Cricetulus griseus: one gene and its partner. The protein of the gene in region 2 purifies or fractionates together with the protein of the main gene of each other region. This does not show direct contact. Links are inferred from orthologs where the notes say so. Each region holds a gene or a part of one and is shown on either strand. Other genes may lie near its edges.

Region 1 (4,241 bases), on a different chromosome or scaffold from region 2:
TTAGAAATAAAAACTTAGGTCAGTAAGATGGCTCAATCGGTAACGGCACTTGTTCCCAGGGCTGACGACCCCATATGGTAGAAGGAGAAAACTGACTCCTACCAGGTTGTCTTCTGAACTACACACGCAGCCAGGAAGCATACAAACAGACAAAATAAATAAATGAAATAGATTAAAAATAGATTAAAATTTTTATTAAAAATAAAAAATAGATTAAAAAAAACTTGCATGTGGACCAGTATGTAGCCCAAATGGAAATAACTGTGTTCATAGCACATCCTAAGCAAAAATAGTGTCATTTTCACTGGCCTGCCATTGTATATAAACTTTTAAAAGGCAAAGATTGCATTTTCCACCATCCTATTAAGCCTCCTGACTCACTCTAGACAGCAACTTGTAATCTGTTTACCAGCCCTCCAATAAGAGGAATTAGTAGTGACTTTGAGAGACCATAGGTATTTGATTAACCTAAAGGGGGTGCGGTCTTGATATTTACCTAACCACGGGCAAAGTGCTTCGTTCTTTCTATCCAATATAAAAATACAATGAGGAATCATTCATACAACATCCACGGAAGAGTTGTAAGTACTTTTAAAGGCACTAACAACCAGATCTAATTTCCCTATCAAAGTACTAAAATACCACTTAACGTAATTCTTAGACCAACACATCAGTGAGAAGGAACAGTTTCTGGAGGTCACTGCCCAACAATCTGTGCATCACATAGCTATGAAACAAAGGCTCCTTATGAACTAGCGGTGGGTGAAGTCTCTAACCCATGCTCCCATCACAGATGGCTGGGTCTTCCAAGCCCATGTACTTAAAAGTGCCAAAGAAAACATAACAATCCCTTCGGCATAAATGCTTGGTCCAGCCATCTGCCGAGTCACTAATGGGTAGCCGCATGCACAGAACCAAGAGAGAGGGTTTGTGATTTGGAGAACCGAGAAAGTCAGCGTTGACGAGAGGATGCAATTACCAGCAGTCATATGACAAGACCCCCCGGTGTGCTATTCCTTCAGCATCTCCCCCCCCCCACTTCAAAACACAAGCTCTGTACCACAGCAGCCTTTAAAAGGTAACGTTTGGGCCCTGAGCATGGGGTGGCTGAGGTGCATACTCATCTACCTTTCCTGGGCAGCTCCAGGCAGAGAGACTGCGCACAAGGACGGAAACCCAGGACTAGCCCTGGGTCATGGAGGTTGGGAGAGGGATATATAAATATATATATGCGCCTTCGTGTAATTATCGCGGGAGAAGCTGAAGTCCTCAATAATCATAAAAGTAAACAAAGAACCCCTATGCCAGGAGGAAGGAACCAGAAAACACTTGCAACAGCAGCCCTCGCGGAAGCTGAAAGGGTGCGGGAGGCCCGGAAGTGCTCCCCGTAAGTGCTCCGGCCCCGCCCTCGCCACGCATGCGCGATAGCGCCGCCCTCTAACCCCCACCGCCGCAGGGGCGGGCGCACGCCGCCATAAGACTCGCACAGCGCGGGCGGGCACGCGCACGCCGCGTCTACGTCGTCGTGAGACGAAGTCGCGCCGCTTGGTCCAGGGGGCGGGGCTGCCAGGCAGAGTGCACAAACTACTCGGGTAAGTAGCCAAGGCTTCCAGAACCTTCGGTGGGGAGTTGAGCCCGACGATCCTACCTGCCAGGACTAACAGAGAGGGTGGCAAGAGACCCGGGAGACGCTCCCGCACCGGGCGTGTGCAAAGGCGAGCGCCTCGAACTGAGCGTGCGCGCGGAGGGCGGGCGCCTGCGCAGTGGGACGGCCGCAAGCCTCTCGCTTCCTCCCGAGTTGCTGGGTGGGAAGCGAGTACCTTGGGTGGAGGTGGCGTAGCCATGACGAGTGCGCTGACTCCTCCCGGACCCGGCCCTGTTCCTTCTTCGTTCCACCCTTAGAGTTGCTGCAGCTATTTGATTGGGGTGGTGACCCATCTGTTTAGGTGGAACACACTGGAATGATTTGTTGGTAGAACCCAACGGTTGTCATAATTAGCCTTTGTACTGGATCCGAATCGACTTAAGCGTCTGGTTTATTCTGAGATTTAATTTTTAAGAAGGATCCCTTTTGGTTTGTTTTTAAGAAAATAAGCAGAGGGTAATTTATGAGTGTAAGGTCATCTCTGTCGTACACAAAGTAAGTATTTAACCAAGCCACATTGTGTCCCACAAAGATCATTACTTTTCCTATGAGCGTTTCCCGCTGTCAGCAGCCCCATCTTCTCATACATTGAAGTTCCTGGATACTCAGTCATCAGCATTTAAGCAAAATTTTACAGAGTGCCTCTTATGGGCCTAGCAGCCTCCTGGGAGGCAAAGTTGCATACTCCACCCAGTGAGAAAAAAACAAAACAGGATGGACCGACCTTCATGACTCCAATCATATCTGTCCCCTGCAGTCTACTGAACTGCCAGCTCTTGTTCTATTATTTATAAGTCACTCCTTCATCCAGGAAACATTGTGATAAGGGTTTTGTTTTATTTTGTTTTTTGTTTTTTTATGGGATGCCTCAAGGATACAAAGGTGATTTGTGTTCTGCTCTCCAAGTGACAGGATTCTTTTCACAGCCTCACACATAGTAAGCAGACACTCTGCCCCTGAACTATAATATCTCCAGACCCAGGATCACAGGCTAGATTTTTACATGTGTGTGCGCACCTGTGCATCTGGAGACTTGAAACTGATATCTGATGTCTTCCTACATAGCTTTCATAGCTTCCCTGAAGCCAGCATGTATGTGTCCATTCCCACTAATCTAGCTAACCATGTTGCTATTGGGAATTGCTTATCTTTAACTCCCAAGTGCTGGGATGGCAGGCAGCTACCCCATCTGGGAAGCTTTTAAGTAAGTTCAAGGGATTCCCAACTTGCCCAGTGCAAGCAATTCATCCACTGAGCCATGTTCCCATCCCCACTCCAGGATTCTTAATAAGATATAAACAAAGTGAGCATGGGAACATGCTGACCGAGGGTAGAATGTGTGAAGTGCATAAAAGATAACATTGTCAGCCTCCTGAGCAGACAGACCCTTCCCTTCCAGGAGTTTTAACATAGCTATGTCAAAGAGAATTTGAACTTTTCCTGTGTTAGAACTTAATAAGAATGAAAAACTGGGCTGTGCATAGGGAAAACTGAGTGTAATGGTGCATACCTGTAATTCCAACACTCAGTAGGCCAGCCCATCGGGATCTGGAACTGAAGGACAGTCTGGGCTACAAAGCAAGAGCCTTAAAAAAAAAAAAAAAAAAAAAAAAAAAAAAAGTGCCAATACCTATTACTGATTTGTGTTTTGTCTAAGATGTAGTTTTTCCTAAGCCTGAAGCTGTTCTAGTTGCTTTGCCTACATTAATTTCATCTTCATAACACACTAACAAGGTAGGCACTTGTATTGATTCCATTTTACAGGTGAGGCATCTAAGGAATAAAAAAGTCAGTTTGTCCAGTCACACAGCAGATAGCAAAGCCAGGATACAGACCTAGGCAGGCAGTTTGTTATAGTCAGTTCATGTTTAAAGATTTATTTTTATTTGCGTGCCTGTGTGTGTGTGTGTGTGTGTGTGTGTGTGTGAGAGAGAGAGAGAGAGAGAGAGAGAGAGAGAGAGACAGACAGACAGACAGACAGACAGACAGACAGACAGACAGACACTCTTGAGCAGGAGGCTAGAAGAAGGCAGCCAGCAGATTGCCCCACAGCTGGAGTTGCAGGGGAATGTGAGCTACCAAACATGGTACTGGGAACCTAACTGCAGTCCTCTGCAGGAGCTGCAAGCACTTTTAAAAACCTCTGACCCAGCTCTTCAACCCCCATAGTCAGTCCTTTCACCGTGCTAGCTTGCCCTCATGCACAGCTGCACATCAAGAAGCCATTGCTCCAAAACTTGGATGACCTTTAGGAAGTCAGTGGAACTGTATAAGCACTCTGTGAACATACTTAAATGAGTGGCTACTTAAGAGTTACACTAATTACTTAGTTAACCCCTATACTTAGCATTTACAATCTAGGGTTGTTAGCTTAACTCCTGTTTACCCCCTTAATGGCATTCAAAACTAGAGACTGAAGGTGTAGCTCAGGGTGGAACATTCACAGGCCCTGGCTTCCACCACCAGCACCAACAAAAGAAGAAACAAAAAAAAAGTCTTTAAGCAAATCTTTAGAACCAGACATCTTGCAGATATGTCTCTGCATCTCAGCAGAAAATGGCTTTTTTAAAGTTAACCTTGTGCTGGTTTCAAGCTG
Region 2 (4,990 bases):
TACAGGGTCCTTGCTCCTCTTAGCACTGCCTCTCCCCGACTCTATCTTAAACCTTTCCAGCTCCTGAGGTTCGATTCCCTTCCCCCAGCTGCTGCTGCTTCTTCCTCATCCTCCTCCTTTCCTATATAACCCAGTCATTTTGGCCATGAGGTCTTTTGGTCCTTGGCTTCTCTACTGATCCTTGTTCTCTTGTTTCTCTCCATGTCCTCTTGGCTCTGCTCTTGGATCTCTCTTGGTCTTCTTGCCTTCTCTCTTCTCTTTTTATCTCTTGCCCCCCACCCCTCCTCTCATGGTCAGGTCTATGCTATTGGCCATGTTCAGTCTAGACTCTTCCAGATGCCTCTGGCTGTATTCTCTCCCTCCATCTCTATAATAAAAACCTTCTCCTCTAGCTGAAAGTTGGTGGTGCACGCCTTTAATCCCAGCACTCAGGAGGCAGAGGCAGGCAGATCTCTGTAAGTTTGACAGCCTGGTCCACAAGAGCTAGTTTCAGGACAGCCTCCAAAGCCACAGAGAAACCCTGTCTCAAAAAACCAGGAAAAAAAAAAAAACAAAATACAAAAACCCTTCTCCTCAACTGTACAGTCATGTCCTCATTTTTGTTCATTGACCAGTTTGCTCCCTACCATTTTGAGTTTTCATGTATGGGCTCTTTAGAAGCCAATTCCCATATCCCCCAGGGGGACTTTTCATCCAGGTCTGGCAGTGGTAGAAAATACCACTGTCTCAAGGTATATGACACTGGCCTGGTTCCACACAGCATCTTGGAGAGTGGGTGCCCTTCTATTTCAAGTGACTGTTAATAGGCTGGCAGACTGAGGTGGGGCAAGAGGTAGAGGAGTTGGAGAATGGAAGCAATGAGCCTCCGAGAGGCAACTTAAGTGTGTGCTCTTCTATTGGTTCTTCCAGAAAGCCCTGTTGAGGGTAGAAAGAACTTTGTAGGATGATCGGGCTTTGCGGGAAGGGATAAAGAATTGGAGCAAAGCATGTGGAATATAATTGTTAATTTGACTGCTTTTGAATACCCAAGCAAAGGGAAGCGAATTGAAGCTTAGGAGCTGGAGAGTTTTAGGATAGGGTGCAGGGGTGGTGGTGTTGGCGGAGGGGCCTGGACGCTGTAAGGAATACTTGTGATGCTGGGAGAGCATATTTTGAATACTCAGTTAAACAGACATTCTACTCACCAAATTCTAAGGGAAACTCCCTCCTGTTGGAATACAGCCTCAAGCTCTGAACGATGGCATTCCAAGAAATGAAAAGGCACTAAAACATCAGGGTGTGTGTCACAATAGACAATTACAGTGAAGGCATCAAATTTCAGCTAACTGCGTTTTTGGGCAAAGAACTAGCACTTTATTCTTTAGGCACCGAGAGGCTCCACCTTTTTTTTTTTTTTTTGGTTTGTTTGTTTAAGCTCAGAAGATACCAAGCAGTTACCCGACTAGAACCCATTTATGGTGGGCGTGAGCGATTTCCTGTGCTTTCCCAGCATTCCTGAGGAAACCAGCGGCTTCCCTTGCGCTGCCATTCTTTAATCGGGAGGCACACATCTCTTTTTGAGACGAGGAGAACACAGAGCCAGCTCGAAAAATAACCTAACCTAACACAATTGAGAAAGCAGTTCGGGGTCTTAAGAGACTTGGTCTAGCCAGGAGGTGACGTCATGCGACTGTAGGCGCTCGCACAGTCGCCTTCTTTAATCGCGCAGGCGCTAGGCCCTCCCTACTGCCGCGCGTCCCCGCGTTGTCCCGCCCTGGCGCGAGGCAGGACGGGAAATCCAAGATGGACACTTCCACTTGAGTTCTGTCTGTCCGTCTTCGGTTCCCCGCTGCGGCCCAGGGATAAGGGATGAGACGCTGTGCGGCCGAGGAGCCATCGTGACCGACCTGCCGCCGCTCTCGGGCCTCCGCGGCCCCTGCGCCTCCGGGGAGCAGCCGGGGCTCGCCAGCGCCTGACGCGTCCCGAGTCACTCAGGTGCGGGCCCGTCTGGGTAGCGCATTGCTGGGACCTGGTGTCGGGGCCTCGCTGCACCCGGTGACCCGAGGGCTGAGCGCCTCGGGGCGAGCCCTGAACGTGTGCTTGGGTGACGGAGGCCCTCGTCTCAAACTGGGCTTTCCGGGGCGCGCCGGATGCGCCCTGCGCCAGAATCGCGGGCCGCTACCTCCCAGCGCTGGTTACTCAAAAGCACGGGGAAGCCTGTTTGTGTTGAGACAAAGCTCTGGGTTCCGCTGTTTGCATATGTTCCTAGTAACGGTAATGACAGTTTTGTTTATAGCATGTCAGCTCAGGACTTTTATGTGGCCCGTAATGAATAACACGGTTACTAATTTTGATAGAACTATGAAAGTATACGATGCTTTGGGCTAAAAGACTGCGAAAGTGGTGCTGTAAGTAATAATCCCGTAGGTTTGTTTTAAGCTATAAGAGAGTGAAATTACATAATTGCACAAGGAAAAGTCGGATAAAGTCGCCAGTTCTTTAATGTCGGCTACTTTGTTGAGTAGAATTTGGAAACGCCAGCCACATTTTGGAATTTCACATTCGTTTTATAAGGCATTTGTGGTTCTGTTTCAAATTGAGCTGTTCTCAGTACTGATTTATTTCTAGGAGGTGAAAAAGAAACTTGCTCCTGTTTTTGGACACAACCATCTCAGGATGGCATTTAATTCACAGCAAAAAAAGACTTTGTAGTTGCAGAGGGCTTCAGAGAAACCAGACTCTGAGGTGTTTGTAAAAACAAAACAAAATACCTGAAACTGATGCCATAAAAACTTCAGATGAGAGCTTCAAGTCAAATTTAGTTAGACATTGCTAATCTTGAGTGCCATTTCAAACACTAGCAGTTGGCTGTAGTGCTGATATCAAATGCTTGTTTTGAGCCATGTTTGGAGATTGCAATTTAAACGTAATGCCAAGAAACCCATTTTTATTGCAGAGGTTTTCTGAGAGACAGAGCCGACACCCACCTCACGTACTCTGCTAGGATGTTAGCCATCCCCACAGAATGCTTGTGAGGTGGACTGCCATGTTTCTGACATAGCTCCATCCAGGTCTTTGTAGTAGTAATAAACTAGTTTTGACTCAAAGGCTGATGAGAATGTGTTTGGATCCACACAGAAATAATGTTGATATTTGGAACCCATGTCGAACTTCTCTGAAGAAAGGGCAACGATGATTGCAGCCGGAGATTTGCAGGACTTTGTTCCTTTCGGTCGCGACCACTGCAAGCACCACCCTAATGCTCTGAACCTCCAGCTTCGTCAGCTTCAGCCAGCCTCTGAATTATGGTCCTCTGATGGTGCAGCTGGCTTGGTGGGGTCTCTTCAGGAGGTTACAATCCACGAGAAACAGAAGGTTTTATAAAGATTCCCATCATACTCTTGAAACATAGCATTAATAGTCTACTAGTGATTTAAAGCTACCTAGATGCACAGGAGAGAGAAGTATGTGTTGGCCCTTGGACTTCAAAGGCTCATGTTTGCTAGTTTCAGTCCCGTGCTGCCTACGGGGTCATACTTCATAACTTGTAATGAGGGTTGAATAATGTGATCATGTCTCATGTTAAACTTTATTTTCACTTGATATGACTAGATGTTAGAGATTAGAAGTGGTAGCCCCACACTTTTTTCCTAGAATGGGGCTGATGTCACATAAGAATATTAGAGGATGGGGCTGGAGAGATGGCTCAGAGGTTAAGAGCACTGACTGCTCTTCCAGAGGTCCTGAGTTCAATTCCCAGCAGCCACATGGTGGCTCACAACCATCCGTTATGAGATCTGGTGTGCAGATATACATGGAAGCAGAATGTTGTATACATAATAAATAAATAAAATCTAAAAAAAAAAAAAAAGAAAAAAGAATATTAGAGGAGGAGTAGCATCTTATTTTTAGATGGGGCTTCACTAAGAAGCCCAGACTGACCCTGAACTTTTCATCCTTCTGTCTCAGTCTTCTGAGTACTGACAATACAGGTGTGTGCCCCAATGCCTGGAGAACTAGTGGTTCTTAATTATGGATGTGAGATGTAAAAGTATGTCAGGAAACAGCAGTACCAGAACAGAATAGTTCTGTGTGTCCCCCAGCCTTGATTTTTTTTTTTTTTTTTTTGGGTTATACTGGGGGCCAAGCCAAGGTCATGGTCTTGATAGGCAAACACTCTATCACTGAGCTGTGCCTCTTCTCTCCTGCCTTGTTTAATCTTCATATGCCTTTGAAATCAAATCTCTTGGAGTGCACATAGTTCAAAGTCAGAAACTTTCTATCTTCCATTTATCTGGTGGGTGGGACAAGGGAAAGAAGATGAATGTATTTTCAGGTCTGAAGCAGGGAAGTCTACACTGCATCAAGTCCTCTGTTGAGTCACTGTCTCTTTTCTACTCTATTATATTTAATACATACCTTTAGTTTCCCTTCATGCATGGATTTTATTTTATGATCTATATGAAAGATACACTTTTTGCTTGCCTGTGTTTTTGGCAGAATAATACAGGAGACAGAAATATAAAATAAAATAACAGAAATTTTAGTTGGTTTAAAAAATGTCTATGCACCATGTGGATGCAGTACCCACAGAGGCCAGAAGAGGGCATCAGATCTCTTAGAGACAGTTGTAAGACTGTCAGGTGCTGGGAATCAAACCTGGGTCCTCTGGAAGAGCAGCAGTGCTCTTGGACTTGTGAGCCATTTCTCCCACCTGTCTAAAATTATCTCAAGAATCTCCTAATATAATTAATGTACCCACTTTGCTAATTCACCCACTTTGTTCATCCATGTACCATAGTCTTTTTAGGACTTAGTGTTGGGTTGAGTCTTAACCCATAGGCAAATCTTACTGCAGTCTCTTGAAAACAAAGGAGGAAGTGGTGAGCATGTCCTTTGTGTTGATTTTTAAGGAAAGCTGGCAGTTAAGAAAAGGTGTGAGTGAGATTGGAGATGCAGCCGACTTCGATGAAGAACTCTATGTGGCTGGGAACATGGTTATCTGGAGCAA

Evidence for each region.
Region 1: the proteins of Anapc1 (region 2) and Anapc16 purify together in Homo sapiens (co-immunoprecipitation; 5 studies listed by BioGRID and IntAct, with this or other methods). This does not show direct contact. The link is inferred for Cricetulus griseus from reciprocal best matches to the Homo sapiens genes ANAPC1 and ANAPC16.

The regions. Positions count from the first base shown.
Region 1 is NW_023276807.1:1,329,883-1,334,123, forward strand, and holds the start of Anapc16 (anaphase-promoting complex subunit 16), read left to right. Parts: upstream 1-1,441; 5' UTR 1,442-1,592; intron 1,593-1,648; exon of another isoform or gene 1,649-1,802; intron 1,803-4,241. UniProt on the Homo sapiens protein: Component of the anaphase promoting complex/cyclosome (APC/C), a cell cycle-regulated E3 ubiquitin ligase that controls progression through mitosis and the G1 phase of the cell cycle.
Region 2 is NC_048599.1:49,873,451-49,878,440, forward strand, and holds the start of Anapc1 (anaphase-promoting complex subunit 1), read left to right. Parts: upstream 1-1,739; 5' UTR 1,740-1,974; intron 1,975-3,117; 5' UTR 3,118-3,141; coding exon 3,142-3,354; intron 3,355-4,892; coding exon 4,893-4,990. UniProt on the Homo sapiens protein: Component of the anaphase promoting complex/cyclosome (APC/C), a cell cycle-regulated E3 ubiquitin ligase that controls progression through mitosis and the G1 phase of the cell cycle.